Solanum lycopersicum: one gene and its partners. Each later gene encodes a partner of the first gene's protein in a complex. Links are inferred from orthologs where the notes say so. Each region holds a gene or a part of one and is shown in the gene's direction. Other genes may lie near its edges. The genes, in order: photosynthetic NDH subunit of lumenal location 2, chloroplastic; photosynthetic NDH subunit of lumenal location 1, chloroplastic; NAD(P)H-quinone oxidoreductase subunit O, chloroplastic; photosynthetic NDH subunit of subcomplex B 5, chloroplastic; ORR; NAD(P)H-quinone oxidoreductase subunit S, chloroplastic; NAD(P)H-quinone oxidoreductase subunit N, chloroplastic.

Region 1 (3,832 bases):
TGAAAAAAGTACTTTGATTCAGTTTGTGTTTAACTAAATTATTGAAAAGTATTTTTATTAGTAATTTATATTTCACTAATATTTTCAAGATGTATTTTTACGCATGTCATAATTCAACGAGTAGCATTATTACTAATTTATAAGTACTTATTTTTTCGCTTAAAGTTTGATCAAGTATTTTTTGTATTTAAAATATTTAATCAAACAAACTATTAACGACCCTTATACTAATAGGGATTACAAAAGAATTCTAATTATTTCTTTTTTTCAGTTAAGTTATAATTCGTTTATATAATTTTATCATCCCAATCCATTCATTTCTCATCTATTATTTTTTGTAAATTAAAGGTGTTGCTTTAATTTGTAAAGCAATTATTATTAGTCCAACTATGTGGGAGCTAGAGACATTAGATATTTTAGCTGTAAAGCAATTATTCATGCACAATCAATAATGTATTATTTTTGCCTAAATTGCTTTATATCTCTTTATTTATGAAGATAATTTATTGATGATTTGATTTGTTATATCAAAAACTAAATAACATGTATTTCATAATTTTAAAGAAGATATAATTTGTTCACAAAAATACTCTCCAGTCATTATAACAAAAATAATCATTAATTGTCGTTAAATATGTATTTTTAGCGGCAATTGACACTCTTTGTATATGTCCATAAAATATTTAGCAACATTGGTTCTAATGATACTTAACTAATGCCGGTAAAGACTTTCGCACTCTTTATCAATGTCAATATTTAATGCCGCCAAAAATTATTTTTGTTGTAGTGTAGAAAAATAACATCATAGACTTCAAGGGTGTTTCTGTCAGTTTCATTATTTTATTTTGGGATAACTAATCCTGATACCATTACTCTGCTCTATGACGGTGATAACTTATTTCAGGAGTGTATAGTTGAAAAATTCAGCATAATTTAAATGGTTTTTAGTGTCTAATCTCAATGTTGAACTCAAATTTGTTTTGATACGAGAATTGAATGCCTCAAGGGAAAAACATAAGAAATTTGTTCGATTGATAGAAGATTGATCCCAACCCGTCAATGAAATAGGGCTACTAGTGTTCAGTCTTGATTGATTCCGAAAAAATGCGAACCAAGTAAAACTAGTTTCAAATTGAACAAGGCCAACCCTAAGTTAAACAAATTCCAAAATTGGGCCAACTAGAACAAAGCCTCTTACACCATTGACCCAACAACACCAAAATTTATTGGGAAAAAAAGAGGATAAAATATTTGCCAAGTCACCAAAACCTAAGGTCCATTTTGGATTTAGGGAAATCAATTAATATCCATCCAAAACACACACAAAAACCATCAAACACTCCTTAGATTTTTTTTTTCAACACAAAAATGACCACTTTCACAAATCCTACAACTTTGTTCCATCCAAAAACCAAAATAACCAAAACTCATCACACACAATGCAAGACACTACCCAAAATCCAATCTAACTTATCAACTAATGAACAAAACTTCTCATGTAGACGCAAACTCATCGCGACTTTTCTAGTCACTCCATTGACACTAGGCCTACAATTCACCCCTTTAGCATTAGCTGAAAATTGGGGCGTTCGATCATTCTTAAGAGAACATTTCTTTGAGCCTGGATTGTCCCCTGAAGATGCAGTAGCACGAATTCGTCAAACAGCAGATGGACTACATAGTATTAAAGAGATGTTGGAGACTAACTCATGGAGGTATGTATTGTTTTATATACGACTTAAATCAGCTTATCTTAAACAGGACGTGAAGAATGCCTTATCCAGGGTGCCTGAAAGTCGAAAAGAGTCTTATATTAAAACTGTCAATGAGCTTACTGATAACATGGCTGAGGTAACTAACTGTCCTTATTTTCCCTGTTCAGAATTTTTCGAGGTTCTATTCAGTGTTATGGATATTTCTATGTATTTTCTTCGTCTGCAGTTTGATTACTACATTCGAACACCAAAGGTATATGAATCTCGTGTATTCTATGAGAAGACGTTGAAATCAATTGATGAATTGGTGGGATTACTTGCATAATAATATCATCAGGCTCAAAGGTGAGTGAATGTTGTAGCAGAAAAATCGCGTTGGTTTAACAAATAAACTGATCGAAAAACGTTGAAATTATATACAATTTTATGTTCATTTATAAGCTTGGTCTGCGAGTTGATGAAATTGGAATCAAGATTACATACGAGTTTATGAGAGAATAACTATTAGTTGAATAAACGTGATATTTGAAGATGAAAACATTGAAGTAAGGAGGAAATCTTTTCATTATGTGATACAACTGATGAAAATCTTGATACAATGAAATGCAACTGATGAAACTAACATTTACAAACACAATACACACACAAAGGCTAGCAATTGCTAGTGTAGCCAACATCTTCAGCGCCTTGATAAAGCGATAGATGACAAAATTATAAGTATAACCATCAAGGCCATTGCACCAAAAGAACCGATAAGGGATCCAGCAGAACGTTGACAGAAATCTGTATACTGTTGGCATATCGAAAACCAGTTAGTTGAAGTGTTGCCATTGTGTGCCAAATACACAATCGCGGCTGCTGCTGATGCTCCAGATGTGAGGAAAACCAGCATTATCTTCAAAAGTTTTCGCAAAGTATAAAAGATATCAGTACAACATCATAACAAAGTACTAAATATGAAAACTTTAGCAGAAATCTAATGTATTACCGCGTCTAGAACAATGAGCAAAACTCTGCTCTTTCCTGCTCTACTTCTGATAATGTGAAAGATTGAAATAGTGATAGAAAGTGCAAGATATACACAAACTATAGAATTCGAAACCACGAAGAACCTTCAATCAGAATAAGCAAAACAAAAAAATGTGTTAGTTAACCTTTATACTGTTCTATTTCATGTAATAATATGTTTGCAGTTTTGCTTACTTGAACGAGTCGATATCATCATACTGAGCTTCAAAATTTACAATCTGTGTACTGAATGGAAGTGCTTGATCTGCAGTACCCATTGCCACAGCACTTGCTAAGGTTCCAACAAGTGCAACGATACGTAAAACAAGATCAAATACAGAGATTCCTCTGTTCACTCCATGAACTCTTTTGGCCTTTGATCCCTCTCCAGTTTCAATTGATACTGCCTTCATTTTTTCCTTTTAGCTCAAACTTTGAAACTAGAATGAAATTTTGTTGTTATGATTTGTATGTCAAGTGTGATGCGAATTTATACTAACAAGTGAACCAAATCATGTAACAGAGTTACAAATAGTATTAGGTTTTGATGACACATAATTAGTTGTTGCTTTTGCTTATTTAATCAATGAAATGTACAACTTTCTGGTTCATGATATTCCATAAAGTAGTTAAGTCTTGCATTAACTTGCTACACTTTTTACCTGCTCTACTTTCTTCCTAACATGTATTTTGAAAATGTATTTTTTCTCGAGAAAATGTATCATTATATACGAGAAATCGCGATATTAAAACAGCACACGACACGTTGCAATCCATTTGAGAAGGGTAGTATGTATGCATACGTCACTTTTAACTTTATGGAATTGAGAGGTTGTTCCCGATAAAAACTTCAACATTCTTTGTCCTATCTTTTTTTTCTTTTTTAATGTTTTGCAAACACACTTTATGATCATTGATTTATTATATTAGGTCAATTGATAATATACTAATAACAATGGTTATGGTCCTAAATGGTTTTTTGGATTAGGCACAAAGTTCTACTTGAACATAAGAATCAAACATGAGAAATTAGAATACTAGAAAGTAAAATAATGAATAGGTTGACTTTTTGATTAACAATGAGAAATAAAATAAAGAACAAGTTTATG
Region 2 (3,355 bases), on another chromosome or scaffold:
TTCAAATGTCTCGTGAAAGATCAACTACGATAAAAAAAACATTTGCTTCACAAATACTTCAAGGCTTGTCTTTACAAGTTCGACAAATCAAGCACCTCAACAAGCCTCAAAGTAGGGGCATTTGTAAACACTGAAGTTTTATTGATAAATCCATATTACATTTGGATTAAATCTTAAATCACCATATGTTGACCAAGTCAAATTACTGGTTGATAAAGTCTAATTAATATCTAAGCCAAAATTGTATGACTTAAATCAAGTCCAAATCATTTGGATCATTCCATTAAGTTGACAAGATGAGCCCAACTCATGTTCTTCAGGCCCAGGGATCAAAATTGCTCAGACCAAAATACCCTAAAGCCCTAACTCAAGCCTATATAAAGAGGTATTCTTCTGACCAAAAGGACAAAAAAAAATACATATACACAGGAATACATAATTGCTTTTCAGCATATAAAGAAGTCTTCGCTCCAAGGGTTGAGCCGCAAGTATTCCGCCAAATCAATAACATCTGTGAAGAGAAGAATCAGGGGATTAAATATCTTTTTGAGATATTTTATAAAGATTGTAACCTTAGTATTAATTCAAATACAAATATTATTGTTTGCTTGCTATTTTTCCTTTCCTGTATATTGTATTTCAGGATTGAAACTTTAGACGCATACACTGAGATTTGGATCATCCAAGGTACATTAACATGGCGTACTCCACCCCTGGTACCCTTTGATCATTCTTCAATTATATTTGGCGTTGCATTTACACAGTTGATGAATACCTCCACGCTAGGATGTAAATTGATCATTGATGCATCGCCAGTTGGATTTCCTTTCAAATAGCTTGTGCTATACAGTGATTGAAAGAACCTGTGCTTGGTTTTTCCACATCAACATGGGTGCATTTGATATCACATTTCATATGGTCGAGTTGTTAAAGTATCATTATCTTAAATTCTTCGAAGTCAATTGTTAAGGTTTTTAGCATTGATCAACCCATTAATTTTTAAGTTATAAGTTTACATTTACTATCTATTGCAATTTTGATGAATTTTTACACATAAATTTATATTTCGCATTAAAAGTACTGAGTTCAGATAAACTCGGTATCAATACATTAGATCCGCCTCATCCATCAAGGATTCAAGTTTGTGCTGTTGTTACATACAGATATTTATGACATGGTAAACTTGTGAAAAATTTGCAAGAACAATTAGTAAAAATTATCAATGTGGATATAGTCAAATTTTAGCCCCACATATGAAGCACAGCTCATTTAGTTGTAGTTGAAAGAGACATAAAAGCCCATTTGGACCTTGGCAGGAAAGGTCATCCTCACATTTAATTTGCATCTTATCCTATTGAGCAAGAAAAAATGATGGAAAAAAAAGTGATTGTATTAGGAGAAAAAATAAACATGTTAAGCAAAAATCTAGTGATTTTTGTCCACAAAAATGGCAGCTACTTCACTCTCATTGAATCTTGGGCTTCCATCACCAGCAGCCAACAATTTGAATAGGCATGGCTTACACAACATTATTACATGTTCGGCATCAGAAAACACGTCCCCTAATCAACAGAGTAAGAAAATTTCATATCGATCAATTATGAAGTCATGTTTGCATTTACGCCATTTTCTCCGTGGTAAAATTCTACTAGTATCTCTGTTTCAGGATGCTTGATGAGAAGGTCATATCTATTAGGAGCAGGGGCTCTTTCGTTGGGTTTATTATTACCCGCGACTCCCCTTCTAGCTCAAGGTACTCTGTTACTATAATTTTTATTCTCTAAACTTTTTACTTTTTATAATTAAATGACGTGTATGCAGGAGTACCGGAGAACTATGAAATCTTTGTTGACAAACGAGATGGTTATTCGTATTACTATCCATCAGATTGGAGGGTATGTTGCTTCTTTTTTTTTTAAGAAATGAATTTTTAGAAATTAGTAAACTCTCATTTTGACTTTGGATGTATGTACAGGAATTCGATTTCAGAGGTCATGATTCTGCATTTAAAGATAGGTATCTACAACTGCAAAATGTAAGACTTAGTTTTATACCAACTGATAAAACAGATATCCATGATTTGGGGCCAATGCAAGAGGTAAATCGCGGTACTATTCATCTATGTAGCCGTTTTTTATTAAGCTATCAAGGAGGAGAAAAATATAAAAAAGACATGTATTTTCTTCGTCATACCAACTTATTTCTACTTTCCTAAAGGTTGTGCCCGATCTGGTAAAACATGTTTACTCTGCACCGAATCAGGTGGCAAATATAATGGAAATGAAGGAGGTATGATCCTTTCTTATTCTCTTGATTGTACAATATACGTAGCTCTTTTTCAATTAGTCACCATATTTTTGTTCAAAATTATGTAGAGAACTACGGATGGGAAAAACTATTTCACCTTTGAATATGTATTGACATCTCCAAATTTTTCGCGGGCAGCATTTGCTACTATAGCAATTGCAAATGGTAAGTGATCTGGTTTGTTTCCTTTAACTGTACATTACATTTTTCTGCATTCGTATTAAGACATTTCGTACAGGGAGATACTACACATTAATCGTGGGAGCGAATGAAAGGCGATGGAGAAAATTCCGCAACAAACTTAAAGTGGTGGCTGATTCATTTCAGGTGTTGGACATTTAGAATTGTTCTAAGAGCTGCAATGATAGAGTCTTGTTCCATGAAACAGGATTTGCAATTTGTTTATTGAATTACAGTACAAAGAATGTTTCTGGCTATCCCATAAGTAACTGAAATCCCCTTGTAGTTGAAGCGGTGAAGTGTTAACGACAAATTTTAAAGTGATGGAAAATAAAGCACAAATAAAGTACGGCATGATACATATCTAATCTTGGTTTCAAATTTTAACTTTGACCTCCAACGTTCATAGTAAACAAACAAACACTTCAATTATCTAACCCTTTAATAAATAAACACGCGAGTCGTACCTGGCAAACATGTAATGTGCATGTATTTTGTGCGAGTTAGGAGTAGTAATTTTTGAGGTCCACAATGGTAAAAAAATGCTGAAATAACAACTCCACCATTAATGAATCCCTTTTATATATTTTTTTATATTTCCAAATCAAAATTCATTTAAATTTTTTTTAAATTCTAAAATGGACGCATAAAATATTTAATTAGTTGGCAGTCATTGAGTGGCTCACTAATATACGTGGGAGCATTTGCATTTCACTCTCTTTGTCTCCAAAAATCGTGTGTTTATTTATTTAATGGTATGATAGTTTAAGTGTCTATTTGTGCACTATTAAAGTTGGAGGTCAAAGTCAAAATTTGAAGTCAAGTTTAGGGTCCAATATATGTATTATGCCTATAAAATATGATGAAA
Region 3 (3,468 bases), on another chromosome or scaffold:
GTGCATAGCCCATGAATTTTTTTAAATCCAAAAATTTCCAAACAATATGGCCAAAATTTTTCATGGCGTCCGTAAAGAGCTAAGGAATGAAACGAGTTCATCCCGCGGGGAAAAATGATGTATTTTATAATTCAAACGAGCCCCTAAGAAGGCAAAGGTAGTTTTTATCGATTTTAGTGTGTTATAGCCCATAATATTTTTTATCCATAAATCCTAAAACAAAATGACCGCATATTTAATAGACGACCATTAAGACCTTAAAATGGAACCACTTCGTCCTGCGGGGAAAAAAGACACATTTTCAAGTTTAAACAAATTCCAAAGCAGACAAAGACAAATTTTATCAAATTTCTTGCTCTGGGGTTCAGTTGAACTTGAAAATGCACGATTTTTCCCTGCGGGACGAACTGGTTCAATTTATATGGTTTTAACGGATGTCAAAAGAATTTGGCCATTTTTTTATATTCCCGAATCAAAAAGAAAATCATGTGATATAACACATAAAAATTGGTAAAATATGTCTTTGCCTGCTTTGGGCACGTTTGAACTTAAAAATGCATCATTTTTCTCCACGAGACGAGCTAGTTTTATTTCTAAGTTTTTAAAGGACGTCCATGAAAAAATTCGACCATTTTGTTTTGAATTTTTGGGTAAAAATAATTTATGGGTTATGTCATACGAAAATCGATAAAATCTGTTTTTTACCTACTTGTAAACAAAAATTGAAAAAAATGAGGGTTTACCTGCTCTGGATCGTTTGACCTTCAAAATGGGGTGTTTTGATCGTGGTGACTAACTGACTCCATTGATAAGATCTTAACAATCATCCATGTTAATTCAGAAAATATGACGTCAGAGTTCTTATTCACCAAAAATTTCATAGACTATAGCACAGAACACTCGACAAAATTGGGGGTTTACCTACTCTAAACTCGTTTAACCTTGAAAATGGGTCCTTTTTAGCTGTAGTGGCCAATATGCCCCATAGATAAGGTTTTAACTATGTTAATTTTCGGCAAATAACGTTAAAATTCTGGATCACTAAAAAGATGGTTTGACCTTTAAAATGGTCGTTTTGACCGTGACAACCAATTGGCTCCATAGATAAAAGTTCTAACGGACGTCCACAGTAATTTTCAACAAAAATGACATCGAAATTCAGTATTCAAACTCGAAATCCTTAACCGAGAATAGAGTAATCCCATTTATTAGCAGACTAATTTTTGTTATTCAAATCTGGCCGTTGAAGAAGGGGGAAAAAGGGCATGCCCTTATCTACTTATATTGGCCACAACTAAACTAGTTATATCTCCAAAAAAAAAAAAAAAAAACTATAGAGATGGCTTTCTCTGCTGCATTTTCACACACCTCCTTCATATATTCATCATCTTTTTCACAAACAAGAAAAAATAGGATTAATTATAGCCCTTTTGTTATTAAAGCAGAAAATAGTTCATCTGAACCACAAGAAAATAATGAGAAGCCAAAATCTCAAGCAGCAGCAGCAACAACAACTTCTTCTAGTACAACAGCCACCGCAACAAAGCCTAAAAAACCGGTTTATTCTAGTGAGTAGTACTATTTCATGAAAATGTCTCAAATTTCACTAATTTTTTGTTTATAGAAGTTTAGCTTTTTTGTTTTGGTTGGCAGTGAAGAAAGGTCAGATAGTCAGGGTGGAAAAGGAGAAGTATCTGAATAGCATCAATGTGAGTTTTGTTTTTTTTTGCTACTTCACGAGGTAATGATAAGGTTTATGTACACTCTACCTTCTCAGACCTATTTAGTGGGACTTCTTTAATAAAGATATATATACTATAATTTTTTACCAATCAGCATTGTATCCTCTACATGCTTATGAATGATGATAATAATCTGAATTGGAAGTTGTGGACACCCTTGCACTGGAATTTGACTGTATATTTTTGTATAAATTTCTTCAGTATTTGTCTGTTGATCATCCACCTTATTACAAAGGTCTGGACTACATATATGAAGACCGTGGTGAGGTACCATTTTCTTATTTCTCTATAGATCATGTCAAAAGGGATAACAAAATACAATTTGGAACAACATGTTATTTATAAAATAAACTAATCATATATCTGTTTAGGTATTGGATATTCGTATATTCGAGACAGGAGAATATGCACTTGTAAGTATATTTTTTTCGAAATTCAATTTATTATATCAAAACACACCTCGAAACATAAATTTCACTGAATATATAAAGAGATCAAAGTTGAGAGTTTACCTATGCTGCAGATTGGATGGATCGGAATACCAACTGCACCAGCTTGGCTTCCAACAGAGATGCTAATTAAGGTAATTAGCCTTTTGAAATCATTCAAAATACTAAAGCAGCAATTTGCATCATTTCATGAGTACCTTTTATGGTACACTATTAAAAAAACCTCCTTGCACTTCAAATGAGAATCTCTGGTGAAAATTATTTTGGACAAACTCATAGCAATTAACTGCACGGAGGTTTGGGGAATGGACCGGTGGGTTGCTTATATGAACTTAAGCAATCCTCCCAAGTATCCGGAATGGACTGGTGGTTTGCTTATATGAACTTAAGCAATCCTCCCAAGTATCGTATCTTTATTTGATGATACAGTTTCCACCTTGCTAAAAAGCAAGTGGTCTGTTGCGTAATCACACATTCCCTAACCAATAACAAATTTTGCAGTCTGATAAGCTGGATTACGAGAGAATATAGTGGCGAGTCCACAGTTACAGACCAGTACATGCCAGACGAGTAAATCAAAGTGGAGCATCAGATTGACCGCTGCTCATCAGAGATGAAGAGAGATGAGATGGACACACCTCCAGAATTTACTTATTGCTAAATATATTATTATTCCTTAAAGATCACTCAATCAGCTTCTCAGTTGACACTAAATAATCGTTAAATTGATTCTTAAGAAGCTTAATATAACAATCCTGGACTATTCAGTAGGTAAAAGACAGCTTCCAGTAACAATCAAGAGACGTTCTAGATCAACTGAAATATAAATAAACAGCAACATACCCAATGTAATCCCACAAGTGGGGTCTGGGAAGGATAGAACTGAAATATGATATCAGTTAAACACAAAATACCTTCCATATTGAATAGAATGGAGTCGGTTTATAAATGAATATCGAAATGTACGTCTCAATGTACCATTAATTTTTTCATAAAATTATAGTGTACACACAATATACAGTAGGCAGGTAACTGGAAAGTCTCAGTGTACAGCAGCCTGTAAAAAGGGAAGGTGAAGAACAGGTGGTATGGAGTATAAGTTATCTGTATTTTTTTCTGTAAACAATGCTGTACTTGGTATCAATATCTGAAAGCGATGAGGGTGGAGAATGAAATGAAGAAATTAATGAAGAAATGATGCCAGGAAAAATCAGAACTTACAGCCTTCTCCTAGCACGCTTAGTAGCATTCATAAGCTCTGTCAACGAAGCAAGGGG
Region 4 (4,163 bases), on another chromosome or scaffold:
ATATATAAACGCAACCTCCATAGCAAATGAAATTATAATTATGAAGCGCAATTATTGAAACTATAGCTACACAGTCTTATTATATCTATGATCTTTGATTCAAACTTGAAATGAATTTACATGGTCATATTCGTTTAATTTGTATTAATATCATGGTAGATGGATTAGATAGATGAAAATATTATTGTCGTTCTTTTGTATTGAATTTTGGATATACATAAAAGAAAGATACAGTATACGTACAGTTGCTTAATAATTAAAGGAAAAATTATATAAAATATCAAATTATTAATTCAAATTAATGTTATAATCATACTTTGATTTAATTGTAACTCGTAGCAAACAATTGTCATTCACCTCTCTCCCCGACGAATTTCGCTTGCCACTCTCCCAGGTCTTGCTCGTCACTCTCCCTCGTCTCACTCACTTTATACAAAAGGCAAATGAATAAATTGTGTTTGTATTTGTATAAAGCGGGAGAAAATTATATGTACACATACATATAATTTCGTCATATACACTTATAATTATACAAATACAGATTTCCTCTACAAGTTCTCTTTTGTCATTCTCTCTTTCTCGCTTTATATAAACACAAATTACAATGTATACTTTGTGTTATATAACTCGAGAGAGAGAGCGATTTGATATACAAATGTTTTATTTCGATACATTGTATACAAATTCAAATTTTATGCAGATATACAAACACATAAAATTGAATTTAGAGGTTGTCAACGATTTATACAAACGAGAGGCTGCCAATGATTTAATGTACCATAGCAAGTATAAAATTTGGTATGGGCCGCAATTATACAAACTATAGTTATAGTATACAAATATGATTTTTTATGTTTGCTAAACCTAAACTTACTTATAATTAAATAGTTTCCTATTGAAATAATTATTTCTGTATGAATGTCGTCGATATTTTCCTCCTTTTTTCTCCCTTATTTTTGTCATAAGTTGGAAAAAAATTTAAAATTTTGAAATATTGGTGAAAATATTTTTTTAAAATAGTTTTAAAATAATTTTTATAATGGTAAGCAAAAAAAAAATCTGGTTTATGGCTAAGAGAGGCTAATTTATTTTGTTTAAAGCATTTTGAATAATCTCATTTAAATAGACATTTACGTTCTCCAATTCTGGATATGTACAATTACAAGCAGACATATAAATATGTATATAATTAAACAAGTAGACACATCCTATGTGACATCGTACGTGACAATTTGCATCCTATATAATGTCCTACGTGCATTATATCACGTAGTACGTCTGTTTATGTTTGTTCAATGTTATATAAATTTAAGTGTTGATTTATCTACAATCAAAGTTGAAAGACATAGATGTCAGATGAAATCAAGTTAAAAGGGGTCGGAAATTGTGGTAACACAATAAGAGACTAAATAGATATTAAAAAAAAAATATAAAACCATAATATATAATAGCCTTATCCACGTATAGCCTTAACCATTCAAAATATATGGATAATAAAGTTAGAAAACATAGAGTAAACAAGCAAGAACAGAGCAACACTACTCAACAACAATGGAGAATTCTTTAACACTTTCACTACTCTCCACAATTCCAGTTCCCAATTCAGTATTCTCAACAAAATGGAGTGTTCTTTTTCGAGGAAATCCATGTTCGATTTCCTCGAAAATTGGTACAAAATGTGGTGGATTTAGATCATCAACAAGATTGTATGCAGGACTAACAGAGATAGAACCAGATATCAACGAAGATCCTGTTGATCGATGGAGAACTAATGGCATTGACATTGTAATGTTTCTTTTCTTTTCTTCGTTGTTTTTAAATAATTGTAGTGTTTGAGTAAGTTTAATATCTTTCATCAACATAGATATCGAATAATTTTGATATAATACAAAATGTCCTTTTAACTTGGCTTTTTTTAACTGACAAATGTATCTATTTTTTCAATTTTATATAAGTCTCTATTTGTGTACATCGAAAATAAGAGGATATAGATGTAACTGAAACAAAATTGAAGGGCATATTTATATATTTATGTAATAATTTTTTTTTTATTGAAATTTTGACGGATTTATTTTAAGGCAGACGCATGTTAACTAATTTTATTTTATTTTAATTTGTTGCAGGAAGATTATGTTTTTGGAAAATACGATGATCATCATACGTACTTTGAAAGTGAAGATAAAAAAGGTACATAACAATATGTGTGTGTTTTTTTCGATTTAATTTGTAATTTGAATTGAAAAATATCTAAATTTGTCCAATGTATTATTATATGAATTCGATCAAGTTAGTCTTCGTTCGACTTTTCGTTTAATAAATCGTTTCATATTTGTCCAACGTGAAATTGGTGAACTCCACGTGTTCAAATTCTTCGAAAAACACAATATTTGAGTAGCTATTTTTACAAAAATAGGTAAATGTATTTATACTTAAACTATACTTAATTCTATATCACTTGCATTTTCAGTATCATTTTGGGGATCCATAGCAGAAGATTATGCTGCTATTGCACCCCCAACAGGATTTCAAGGTATGTAACAAATTACCATAATAATATGATCATTAACTTAGTCATTTACTTTTCGCACTTTGACTAATTTCACGAAATACTTTCCATCAGCAACAAGTATCAGCTAACTCTATCCATCTACCAACACCGATTGTGGTTCACTGGTGGGAGTGTTTCACTCTTAACCACAGGTCTCGGGTTTGAGTATTGGATATGATCTATTGAGAAAATCATGTTGGGAGCGTCACCCTCAAATATAGGACCTGCAATGTGCGATTCGAATTTAGTCGTAATTCCAATGTAAGCTCCGGACATCGGGTGGAAAAAAAAAACTCTATTCATCCACAGTGGATAAGACAAATGAAAGGATCACCTAGAATTTTTCTTCTCTCGCTGAGAATTGAACGTGATGAGACCTCGTGACTCTTAACCAGTTCATTGACCACTAGGGCACACCCTTGAGTGCTTCTTTAGTTATTTACTTAAAATAACTTATTTTTCTGGTGTTCGACAATAGGTATCATTTCATGGCTGTTTCCTCCAGCAATAGTTGCAGGAATGTACTTCAATGTTCCTGTAAGTTAATGACTAAATCTCTACTATATTACACATTTTTCGAGGCTCGAAAACACCCGTTTCCAGCAACTAAAAGTCTTGTATTTTCACTTCTTTGACAATGCAGGGGGAGTATTTGTACATTGGAGCAGCTGTGTTTACAATTGTGTTCTGTATCATTGAGATGGACAAACCAAGTGAAGCACACAATTTCGAGCCTCAAATATATAACATGGAGAGAGGTGCGCGAGATAAGTTAATATCGGATTATAACACAATGGACATTTGGGAATTCAACGAAAAATATGGTGATTTATGGGATTTTACTGTTAAGAAGGACGATATCATGAAACGATAGAAATAAAAAAGAACAACGAATTCATATGTTCTGAATATATCATTAAGGTATCTAAATGAATCGCGTAATGATCATTGGATTTCATCGATTACTCGAAGATGCATATGATCTGGTGTTGTTCCATGGTTGTACTATATGTTTCTTAACTACATTGAGATGAAAAAAAAACTCTAATGAACTCCCTAGCTGAAGAATTACACTGTATATATAAGGTCAAAGTTATATATTTCTTATTAGTATATGTCAAATCCCTTTATCAATTCTTTATATTTTGAATTTCCTTAATAAAAATTCTGATTGCGCTACTGCGATGAGAGTTGTATAAATCAAAGTACATAGGATGTTTAAAGTTACATTAAGAAGGAACTTAAGAGTTGAAAAGTTTGATTGAATGATGAGTGATAACTAACATGATTTGGCTTTTTTTTCTAATATTTTTTATGAATGTTCTGATATTGCTTGTTGTATGTGTAAATATACCTACTGAATTAGCTCTATGTACTACTTCCGTTCCAATTTAAGCGACACTTTTTGAATTTCGAGATTCAAACAAGTCTATCTTTGATCGTAAATTTTTATATATATCTTTTAATTATTTTGAATTGTCAATTATTACGACTTATATTACTTTTAACGTAGTTTACAAATATATAAATTTAAATTTTGAAAAATATTAAAGATTGTACGTGCAAATTTTCGATCATACTTAAACTATTTGACTCTGAAAAATGAAAAATATCA
Region 5 (2,819 bases), on another chromosome or scaffold:
GCCAAGTATTTTTACCTATTATGTCACCTCTTTCTCTGAATGCAACTATTTCAGTATTATTTTAATATGTTCTTTACAATAGATGTAGATCATCACAAACACACAACACTCTAATCTTGAAACTTGTGAAATGGGTCATATTTCTAAACATGCAGTGTCAGAAGAAACACACCTATGTCTGCCCCGTTTTTGAAGCAACTGGCAACTGTCCCAAAGGTTCAAACTGCAAGCTTCACCATCCGAAGAACAGAAGGAAGGGAGCGAAAAGGAAAGCTTTGAGCGAGTTAAAGAATGGTCGAGGTCGTTACTTTGGCTCTCCGCACATTCATATTTCTGAGTGCATAACAGCTGGATCAGAGAAGCCTTCTGTCAAGGGGAATAATGACATATTCCTTGAAGGGAAGTTTGTCGATTTTATTAGCCTAGATGGTAGTGACGAAGAGGAACAGACTATTGATCAGAGAAGCGAGGAAAAGCCACTTTGCGAGAGTGGTCCAGCAGAGATGCAACTGGATGATCTCGATGAGCTTATTAAGCCCGTGCGTCTGATAAATAGGAATAGGTCTGTAGGTTCATCTCCCTATATAGATAGCCCAAGTGATATGACCACAAGCTATGTATCAGAGTAGCCTCACCATTGTAAATGAGGTTGTGTAATTAGGTTTATGTAGTGTTCTGCTAGTGCAGAGCAATTTTTTTTCTTTTTATTGTTAGGCTTTTAGTTAATTACTTAGGTATAGGTCTTAGGATTAGGCATATTTTTTGTTTCGCAAAATCTGTTGTGTGAGATAGAACAAGAAAACTGTTGTTATAGTGAGAGAATTAAAGGAAATGAAAATCTTATCCCCTATGTACAAGTCTTTATTGGAAGCTGTTTGACTTTTGTTCTTTAACAATTTTCAAGTCAATCTGAACTCTCTTATTGAGTCTTTATCACAGGTGATAATGAACCTGTAGATTCAATCAGCTGGTGTTATGTTTATTTTACTTTTGACAGGTAAGCATTCTTTTTTTGTAGTGATGAATACACGGATAAAAAAGATTGTTTTTAATAGATCCACCACCATACGAACTTCTGAACTTAAATTTTTTGGTTTTGTCTATATAAGTGAAACGCCCTGCATACTTATCTTTCATGGCTCGGATTCACTAATTAACCAAACCTTTAAACCTGGTTTAACAGGGATAAAAACGAAAGTAATTTAAGTACCTCAAAGTGAGTAATTTGTAATTAACCTTTTATTAAGCACAGCCACAGAACAAAAAAAATATAAGATAATAAAAAGAAGCCATATGTAAGCAAACATTTCCTATCCACACAAAAAGGAGGATATATTAATATCCCAATACCAACATTCAAGAAAAGGCCATAAAAATCACACATAACAAAACACTAGGAGAAAGGGGGAAACATGGCAGCAACTTCAACATACATGGCTTCAACCCATTTCAGCATGTTAAGTTGGAGCACAAAGGGAAAGAATAAACAACTCAAAAGGAGAAACTTCTTCTCAGTTTCAGCACAGCAAGCAGAAGTTGAAGAGTTAAAACTAAAAAAAGAGGAAGAAAAGAAAGAAGAAGAAAAACAAGAAGAGGGGGCAATGAAGAAGCCAAGGCCAGTAGAACCACAAATAAATGTGCAGAGCAAGAACATGACCAGAGAACATGGAGGACAATGGCTCAGTAGTGCTACTAGACATGTTCGAATATATGCAGCTTATATTGATCCCGAAACCTTTGCTTTCGATCAAACACAAATGGATAAACTCACACTCCTTCTTGACCCTACTGATGAATTTGTGTGGACTGATGATACTTGTACCAAAGTCTATTCTTACTTCCAAGAACTTGTTGATCATTATGAGGTAATGAAAACTTCTCTTCATCAATACAAGCTTAATCATGCAATCACTCTTGTACCAAATGGATTAGAAATAGAAATGCTAACTCCAATAACTTTTTATGATCTGGACCAGGGAGCTCCATTGACGGAGTACACGCTTCGCCTGATAGGTTCAGACATAGAGCACTACATAAGAAAACTTCTCTATAATGGAGAAATCCAATACAACATGAATGCAAGAGTTCTTAACTTCAGTATGGGGAAACCAAGAGTTGGGTTCAATTACAATGGACAAATGGAAGATGTAAACCAGTAAATTCAGGTAACAATGTTGACTATATTGAAACAATGAGTAGCAAAAAATGCAGTTGTAACAATGTATAAGAAACTTTCACCTTCTCTGTCTGTTTTGAGAACTTTTCCCAAATGGATTATACACAATACAAATGTTATCTACCTAATCATTGGTGGCAAAAGGGTATTTTATACTGTGGTTTTCATATTCCTAATCATCTAAGCATTGTATCAATACCCCCAATCAAAATTGCAATAGCTTCAAATTTGTTTGAGATTTCCTATATCTACACCACTCCATATATTTAAGCTTACCTCATCTATATTCAACCTACTTTATTATAAAATTATTCGTTTTTTTCCACAAAAATTTTAAAATAATATGTAAAACTTACTAGACTTTAAAACTAACACACTATATTATCTTACATACAAGATTATGTAAGAACAACTATTGATAATGTAAAAAAAAATGAAAATTATTACATCTTATAATTTAATCTTAATAACATAAGTATAAATTAATGATTGTAAAAATATATACTAGAATCTGTAACATAAACAATGGTGGCAGTGAGTCACTAACCGGAGCAATGTACACAAATATTTAATTGTGAAAAAGAAGAAGAAGAGAGACAGAATTTTCGTTCTTTTAAAAGGAGAGAAAATCCCTCTATTTATA
Region 6 (2,570 bases), on another chromosome or scaffold:
TTCCATTCTTTTGTAATCTGATTCGCTATACAATTAGTCATTTCCGATATATAATTAGACATTTTATATATTTCGATATAGAATGTATAAAATGTGTTTGTGTTTGTATGAAACGAGAGAAAAGATTATATACAAATACATACATACATACATACATACATACACACACATATATATATATATATATTCGTTCTATATACTTATGATTATATAAATCTAGATCTTATTATACAAATTACAATTTATAAATGAATTTATACAAAACTGAACAATCTGAATAAAATTGGATGTATCTAGCGAATTATACAAATCAAAAACTCCATAGCAAACATAAAATTTATTATGGAACGCAATTATGCAAACTATATTTACAACATACAAATATGATTTTTATGTTTGCAATTTGTGAAAAATTACGTCTTTAAAAAAACAACTTTAGAGGCTATTTAGATGAACTTAAAAAGTAACTTTTAAATCAAAAATAAAATGTCAAACTTAAATGATTTATAAGTTAAAAAATAAAAGGCAGAGGAAGACCTACTTTTGATTTTAAACTTATTTTAAGTCATTTTAAAGTTATTTTTAACTTTGTCAAACACTTTCTGACTTATTTTAAGCCATTTTTTACTTACTCTAAGTTATTTTTTATATTTATCGAACACTTCCAAAAATAAAAATAACTGACTTTTAAATCAATTCAAACGCCCTCTTATTTAATCAACTATATCTTCTACAAGACCCCTTTCACATGTGTGGTCCTGACTTTTAGAAATTCCTTTTGATAACAAATAGCAACATAGCGCGAATCTAATACCTCTATATACTCTGATCATCAAGTTAAATCATATGATCATTTTTTAAAAAAATCTTAAATTATTAAAGAAAAACATAATATATCTCGTGTAATTTCATAAATGAATATAAAAATTATAATTTACTTTTAACGCAATTCCTCACGTGTGGTCCTGATTCTTTTTGAAAGGATGGTGTAAAACATGAGTGCAAGTTTAATCTTTTTCCAAGGAAGATAACATCATTCATGTGTTTCATTTGTCAATAGAAGATATCAAAACAAAAACAGATTGGTGGTCAGAATTTGAAAGGACAAATTACAGTTTCCCATTTCTACTTCTCATCTCATCCTCTACCATCATCTTTCCCAAATCCAAAGTTCTTGAAAAAAAATCAAAACCATGGCTTCTGCTTCTTCCTTTCAACTCTCAAGCCTTCAAATTCAAACCCCACCTCTTAAAAAATCAAACTTTCTTGGTCAATCTGTCAATCTCAACCTCAGTAGTAGTGTTCATACCAAATCAGCTATGAAATCATCTTCAAACTCAGTTACACCAATAGCAAAATTCAATCTTTATGAGATTCTTGGAGGTAGAGGTCTGTGTAATGGAGAAGAGGGTATAGAGAAAGAGCTAAAAAAGTCGATTTCCGAAGAACAAAAGGCAGTAGGATCAGCAGCAGCAGCAGCTAGTGATGATGATAATCAAGAAAACAAGGAGACTGGGGAGATACCGGAGGACGGATTTGAGAAAGAAATGATGGGGTTTACTGGCGGATTTCCGGGAGGTGAGAAGGGTCTAATGAAATTTATAGAGAAAAATCCACCACCACCACCACCCAAGAAAACAGAATCAAGTATGGTTTCTGGTTTTAATCAAAGTCTTGTGAAGAAACCAAAGCCACCTGAATTGCCACTTTTGTTACCTGGGATGATTGCTATTGTCAAGAATTCTAATAATCCATATTATATGTATTGTGGGATTGTGCAGAGGATTACTGATGGTAAGGCTGCTGTGCTTTTTGAAGGTGGGAACTGGGATAGGTTGATATCTTTCAGGCTCGAAGAACTCGAACGTAGAGAGAAAGGACCGCCAATGGTGAATCTTAAGTCTGTGATACTTGAGAAGATGGTAGAAAAGAGCTCTGAAGCTTGAATTGCTTCAGTTTTTGAGTAGATTGTTTGTTCTTTTGTCTTTTGGGTTGTTGTACATACAAGCTGTAAGTTTTGTAATGGCAATGGCATGTAATAAGAAATGCAGAAAAACTTTTGTGCAGGAAGAGTTCTGTCCCAAATGAGAAGTTCAACTCTTAGCAGTGATGTTCGAAAGAACTCTTAACAAAAACAACGTAAAAAATAAGAATCAGGTAATTCAAACCACTTGCAAAACATATAGTCAAATATTTAATATGATTGCACAAGATCTAGTTTTGTTTAAGTAATGAATCCTAGCATGTTCTTCTGATCAATTCATAGATCATTAGATACCATCAGTAATGAGGATCTGAAATATCACACGTTTTATCGAGCAAAGAGAGAGTCTAGCAGAACAACAACATACAGTATTTAACAGTGAGTGATAAAACAATTCTTACTTTTCACAAGCATGAGGTACCTCTGACACCACATATGGTGGATCTTAGACTCCATCCAATTGGACAACAGGTCGATATCGATGTAGATAAGTTCAATAATGATAGCTAGCCTGAGAGAGAGTATACAATGGTGCAAACTGCAAGATTTTGACAGATTCTCAAACAGATGGACCAAAATTTTATAA
Region 7 (4,094 bases), on another chromosome or scaffold:
GCAAACTCCCACTACGTTGTAATCATCTTGAAGCACATCAACGCAAAACCAAATCTGCTATCCCCAGGTTCCTCCACTTGATATCCACCACATCGATTAAGTCTATAACTAGGCAACTTGCTATACTTTCTAATTGACGGATTCCATATAAACAAGTCATGCAATTTGTTACATAGGCAACACAAATCAATCTGTTTACCGAACCCACCAGCCAAGGATAGTCTTTGGAAATTTTACCTGGATAATCCAAGTCAATTACCTCCTTTACAGAATGGCGATGTAAATCACTACACATAACTAGCCAACATAAATAGCAACCTTAAACATAACTCCTTGTTACTAGCACAAAATAAGAGATGCGTCTTCACAAATTTAGGGATAGAGATTAAGGAAAGCCAAGATTTCGACACAGACCTGAATTGTAAAAGGGATTTCACCGGAAGCCTTAACAAAACTAAATCTTTGCTTGAAATGGACTGAATTTCCATGGGTTTGCTCCGCTTTGGGAGGCTTCGTCCTCTTTGGATTCCATTTGGGTTTTGCAGAAATGGGAAATCTTTGAGGTTTCGATAGGGAGATTACTATATAAAAAGCCCTAAAGTTTGTCTTTTTTATTTTCCCTCTTACAACAGAGCTGGTTTTAGTTTTTATGTTTTAATACTATATAAATAATATTTTCACTGGTAATTTATATTTTAAAATCATTATATATTGAGTGTTGGTTATATTTTGTTATCTTAAACAACTTATGTCTTATAAGGTATAAATTTATTTTCAAAATATGATGCAGGAATCAAAGCACCATAGTACGTGTTCTAGTTAAAGGAAGGAGATATATGTGCTCCAATTATTTTTGGAGTTCTGTTATGTGTTTCAAAAGTTTTACTAGTAATTATTGTGAAACATTGTCTTTTTTAGATGTTAATGGTCGTATCACAATTCATATTTTATCTGTGGTGAACGTTCTTACTCCTTATGAATTTTACAATGAATACTTAACTTTGTTTTATTTTAAAAATTCAAAATATAAAAGAATAAAAATTAATTTATTTGAAGGACAACTTATGCAATTAAATAGGATGTTTGGAAATTTCATAATCTTTACTTGGATTTTGGATTTTCAATCCAAAATATATAAATTAGGTTTAAGTTTGGCTTTTGTTCTTTTCTAAATCACAAAATTATTTCATTAAAAAAGTTACAATAGAGTTTGAACTCTCACCTTATGATTATTATTCTAGCTATGTTTGAATATACAATATAAAATTAAAATTTGAATAACTAATTTGAGATTATGTTATCTCAAATTTTAAATTCTCCCCAAAACATCATTTCAATTTTTAAAATATAGAACTTATCCCATAAATTTATATAGCTAATATTATTATGCATATTTAAATATTTGTTATTTGTAATTTCTTTATTGTAAAGTTTATCAGCACATTTATTGAGTGGCAAGGAACAAAGTAGTCATCTTTGTCCAAGTTTGCAATGGTCCTTCCACAGTCTCTGTTGCTATAGCTGCCTACTGCCACCACTCACACACTGCCACCAAAATACCCAAATGACAACTCTCTCCTACACCTTCCCTAGCACCACCAGCAGCAGCAGCAGCACTAGGAGGTTCTTGATTACTAGCAATGGGTCTTCTTGCCGGCGGCGCCCCAATATTTCCACTGAAGACCAACCCTGTTCCTCTTCAGGTCATCCCCAATAACCCCTTTCTCTGTGTGTGTGCGCAGTGTGAAGATTTATAATGCTTAATTGATATTATGGGTTGTTACAATATCTTGATATTAGGGTGATCACTAAAAAAGTGAAAAGATCAAGACTTTGTAATAATATTGCATCTGTGTGAGGTGGGGTGTTAATTTTTATTTTTTTTTAAAAAAAAGGGGTTCATATTGGTGGTTAAGGCTTGAGCACCTCCTACCTTTGAGGTAGTTTAGATAGGCCTAAAACTTAATTTTACATGGTATGAGTACCAGGTTCATTCCCGGTGTGAGCTTTTGGTTCTCGCTCTCAAGGGGCCTAAGCGTGAAGGAGGGTGTATGGTTTTGCGATTGAGTTAGGTCCGGATGACAATATCTTTACGGACTTGATAACTTAATGGTTGATTCAAGCTTGTTAAATGTAAATATTAAGTTATGTAGGGAGTGGAAGTATGCATTTTACTTAATAATGTTTTGAAGTTGTGTACAAATTCAGCTTCAACTCACATTTGTTCCCAATTTTCAGCTTTATGGTTCAATATCATGGTGTGTGTGTGTGTGTGTGTGAAGATGTATAACGTTTAGTTGCTATTATGTGTTGTTATAATATCTTGATATTAGGGGGATGGTTAAAGAACTGAAAAGATCAAGACTTAACTTAATGGACTATTCAATCTTGTTAAATGTGAATATTTAGTTGAGTAGGGAGTGATATGTACACTTTACTTAATTCTGTTTTTAAGCTATGGTTTGGGTGTGTAGAGATTCAGCTTCTACTCGCATTTGTTCCCAATTTTCAGATTTATAGTTCAATATCACGGTGTGCGTGTGTGTGAAGACGTATGCTTAGTTGCTATTATGTGTTGTTACAAAATTAGGGTGATGGTTAAAGAACTAAAAAGATCAAGACTTGATATCATAATGGGTGATTCCAGCTTGTTATATGTAAATATTAGTGGGGTAGGTAGTGAAAGTGTACATTTACTTAATTATGTTTTGAAGTTTTGTTTTTTGGGTGAGTAGAGATTCAGCTCCAACTCACATTTGTTCCCGATTGTTATTGTTTTACATGGTATGAAATCCAGACTTTCCCTAATATTGGTCTATAAAGCTGAAAATGTTTGTGCTTACTGTTATGCACTGTCACATTAAGCAGTGCATTGGCAATGTTTCTAGCCATTGTTGACAATGGTAAAAACTGACTTCTGGTTCTCGAGTTTCACAGGTTGCTTACAGTAGGCACCCTTTCAGTTCTCCCTGTAACATAATCTTATCAGTTCTCTTTGGAAAATGACTTATTTATAACTTTTTCTACCTTTTACATGTGGAAATGCACACTTGCAGCACCAAAATGATACTGTTATCCTGTTCGCATTAATTAAATTTTGAGAGTGATGTCTTAACGTTCAATGTTTTTCATTATGATGCCTTTGTTCTTTCGGTCATGTACCATGAAATCTGAATTAAAATGGCAAAATGCAGCCTGTTATCAAGGGGCAGTGCAGTCTTATGGTCTGCAGAAGCAACGAGTACAATTAAATGGCATATCAAAGGCTGTGAGAACGAGAAGACTTGATTCAGTTGGAAGACAAAAGAAAGGAGCAATTAGATGTAACATTGAACTTCAGGACTTCATAGGTGGAGATCTCATTAAACCTGATTTGGGTCAATGGTTATCAGATGTGGAAGAACACAAAGCCATAGCAATTTACTCTCCTCATGAAGGGGGCTATGAAGGACGCTACCTTACACGTCTTAAGTACCAGGGATATCATTTCTTGGACCTTTCGGCTCGTGGCCTCGGTGACCCTGAAACCACTCTTACCAAATTCCACCCTGTCTGCCCTGTAAGTTTAGCAGTTCGCATACGATATGCTTATTCTCAAACACTAACTTGCAGTGTCTAATTGACTCTCATCTGCAAATTTTGATGTTGCAGGCTCATGTTGGTAAGCAACCAATAGCTAGATGGTATTTTCCTCCAGAAGTTGATTATAGGCTTTCTTTACTTCCTCCGGATGCTAAAGGATTAGTGGTTTGGATAATAGAAGCCAAGGTTAAATCCACCCCTTCAAGTGTACATCATCTAATTAGTCCATCAGCAGTATTTTGACTAGATCTTTGTTAACTGTTTGACCTAAAATGTTCAGGTCTTATCAAAGGCAGAGCTGCAGTTTCTTGCTTTACTCCCGACACTTCGTCCTAATGTGAGGGTCATTGCAGAGTGTGGTAACTGGTAAGATTTTCCTTTCATCTTCCTTTTTCTTGTTTATCAATCAACTCTCTTGTAAATAAGGAAACTTTGAGATCTTGTCGTTGTGGTTAAAACAACATTGTATGCAAAAGCTACCTGGATTTACTTCAGTTTAGCCTTCTGTGGTC

The links.
Region 2: photosynthetic NDH subunit of lumenal location 2, chloroplastic (region 1) and photosynthetic NDH subunit of lumenal location 1, chloroplastic share a complex: the UniProt entries of both Arabidopsis thaliana proteins name them as parts of the chloroplast NDH complex. The link is inferred for Solanum lycopersicum from reciprocal best matches to the Arabidopsis thaliana genes PnsL2 and PnsL1.
Region 3: photosynthetic NDH subunit of lumenal location 2, chloroplastic (region 1) and NAD(P)H-quinone oxidoreductase subunit O, chloroplastic share a complex: the UniProt entries of both Arabidopsis thaliana proteins name them as parts of the chloroplast NDH complex. The link is inferred for Solanum lycopersicum from reciprocal best matches to the Arabidopsis thaliana genes PnsL2 and NdhO.
Region 4: photosynthetic NDH subunit of lumenal location 2, chloroplastic (region 1) and photosynthetic NDH subunit of subcomplex B 5, chloroplastic share a complex: the UniProt entries of both Arabidopsis thaliana proteins name them as parts of the chloroplast NDH complex. The link is inferred for Solanum lycopersicum from reciprocal best matches to the Arabidopsis thaliana genes PnsL2 and PnsB5.
Region 5: photosynthetic NDH subunit of lumenal location 2, chloroplastic (region 1) and ORR share a complex: the UniProt entries of both Arabidopsis thaliana proteins name them as parts of the chloroplast NDH complex. The link is inferred for Solanum lycopersicum from reciprocal best matches to the Arabidopsis thaliana genes PnsL2 and NdhM.
Region 6: photosynthetic NDH subunit of lumenal location 2, chloroplastic (region 1) and NAD(P)H-quinone oxidoreductase subunit S, chloroplastic share a complex: the UniProt entries of both Arabidopsis thaliana proteins name them as parts of the chloroplast NDH complex. The link is inferred for Solanum lycopersicum from reciprocal best matches to the Arabidopsis thaliana genes PnsL2 and NdhS.
Region 7: photosynthetic NDH subunit of lumenal location 2, chloroplastic (region 1) and NAD(P)H-quinone oxidoreductase subunit N, chloroplastic share a complex: the UniProt entries of both Arabidopsis thaliana proteins name them as parts of the chloroplast NDH complex. The link is inferred for Solanum lycopersicum from reciprocal best matches to the Arabidopsis thaliana genes PnsL2 and NdhN.

What each region holds. Positions count from the first base shown.
Region 1 is NC_090804.1:2,507,848-2,511,679, forward strand, and holds photosynthetic NDH subunit of lumenal location 2, chloroplastic, read left to right. Parts: upstream 1-1,327; 5' UTR 1,328-1,368; coding exon 1,369-1,851; intron 1,852-1,941; coding exon 1,942-2,040; 3' UTR 2,041-2,060; exon of another isoform or gene 2,061-2,155; intron 2,156-2,255; exon of another isoform or gene 2,256-2,394; coding exon of another isoform or gene 2,395-2,610; intron 2,611-2,703; coding exon of another isoform or gene 2,704-2,827; intron 2,828-2,918; coding exon of another isoform or gene 2,919-3,136; 3' UTR 3,137-3,332; downstream 3,333-3,832. Other genes in the region: casparian strip membrane protein 2, read right to left, coding at 2,395-2,610, 2,704-2,827, 2,919-3,136. UniProt on the Arabidopsis thaliana protein: NDH shuttles electrons from NAD(P)H:plastoquinone, via FMN and iron-sulfur (Fe-S) centers, to quinones in the photosynthetic chain and possibly in a chloroplast respiratory chain.
Region 2 is NC_090809.1:53,936,876-53,940,230, forward strand, and holds photosynthetic NDH subunit of lumenal location 1, chloroplastic, read left to right. Parts: upstream 1-1,300; 5' UTR 1,301-1,447; coding exon 1,448-1,574; intron 1,575-1,652; exon of another isoform or gene 1,653-1,666; coding exon 1,667-1,753; intron 1,754-1,821; coding exon 1,822-1,895; intron 1,896-1,975; coding exon 1,976-2,098; intron 2,099-2,217; coding exon 2,218-2,289; intron 2,290-2,375; coding exon 2,376-2,472; intron 2,473-2,545; coding exon 2,546-2,649; 3' UTR 2,650-2,855; downstream 2,856-3,355. UniProt on the Arabidopsis thaliana protein: NDH shuttles electrons from NAD(P)H:plastoquinone, via FMN and iron-sulfur (Fe-S) centers, to quinones in the photosynthetic chain and possibly in a chloroplast respiratory chain.
Region 3 is NC_090810.1:1,415,295-1,418,762, reverse strand, and holds NAD(P)H-quinone oxidoreductase subunit O, chloroplastic, read left to right. Parts: upstream 1-1,242; 5' UTR 1,243-1,339; coding exon 1,340-1,568; intron 1,569-1,632; coding exon 1,633-1,709; coding exon of another isoform or gene 1,710-1,741; intron 1,742-1,943; coding exon 1,944-2,009; intron 2,010-2,113; coding exon 2,114-2,155; intron 2,156-2,265; coding exon 2,266-2,325; intron 2,326-2,692; coding exon 2,693-2,722; 3' UTR 2,723-2,968; downstream 2,969-3,468. Other genes in the region: uncharacterized protein, read right to left, coding at 3,409-3,468. UniProt on the Arabidopsis thaliana protein: NDH shuttles electrons from NAD(P)H:plastoquinone, via FMN and iron-sulfur (Fe-S) centers, to quinones in the photosynthetic chain and possibly in a chloroplast respiratory chain.
Region 4 is NC_090808.1:66,330,462-66,334,624, forward strand, and holds photosynthetic NDH subunit of subcomplex B 5, chloroplastic, read left to right. Parts: upstream 1-1,458; 5' UTR 1,459-1,551; coding exon 1,552-1,785; intron 1,786-2,123; coding exon 2,124-2,187; intron 2,188-2,467; coding exon 2,468-2,530; intron 2,531-3,026; coding exon 3,027-3,085; intron 3,086-3,191; coding exon 3,192-3,422; 3' UTR 3,423-3,663; downstream 3,664-4,163. UniProt on the Arabidopsis thaliana protein: NDH shuttles electrons from NAD(P)H:plastoquinone, via FMN and iron-sulfur (Fe-S) centers, to quinones in the photosynthetic chain and possibly in a chloroplast respiratory chain.
Region 5 is NC_090803.1:56,432,396-56,435,214, reverse strand, and holds ORR (NAD(P)H-quinone oxidoreductase subunit M, chloroplastic), read left to right. Parts: upstream 1-1,302; 5' UTR 1,303-1,412; coding exon 1,413-1,865; intron 1,866-1,976; coding exon 1,977-2,159; 3' UTR 2,160-2,319; downstream 2,320-2,819. Other genes in the region: uncharacterized protein At1g21580, read left to right, coding at 156-629. UniProt on the Arabidopsis thaliana protein: NDH shuttles electrons from NAD(P)H:plastoquinone, via FMN and iron-sulfur (Fe-S) centers, to quinones in the photosynthetic chain and possibly in a chloroplast respiratory chain.
Region 6 is NC_090807.1:67,427,465-67,430,034, reverse strand, and holds NAD(P)H-quinone oxidoreductase subunit S, chloroplastic, read left to right. Parts: upstream 1-1,193; coding exon 1,194-1,946; 3' UTR 1,947-2,070; downstream 2,071-2,570. UniProt on the Arabidopsis thaliana protein: NDH shuttles electrons from NAD(P)H:plastoquinone, via FMN and iron-sulfur (Fe-S) centers, to quinones in the photosynthetic chain and possibly in a chloroplast respiratory chain.
Region 7 is NC_090808.1:66,282,384-66,286,477, forward strand, and holds the start of NAD(P)H-quinone oxidoreductase subunit N, chloroplastic, read left to right. Parts: upstream 1-1,294; 5' UTR 1,295-1,564; coding exon 1,565-1,703; intron 1,704-3,194; coding exon 3,195-3,559; intron 3,560-3,651; coding exon 3,652-3,768; intron 3,769-3,862; coding exon 3,863-3,948; intron 3,949-4,094. UniProt on the Arabidopsis thaliana protein: NDH shuttles electrons from NAD(P)H:plastoquinone, via FMN and iron-sulfur (Fe-S) centers, to quinones in the photosynthetic chain and possibly in a chloroplast respiratory chain.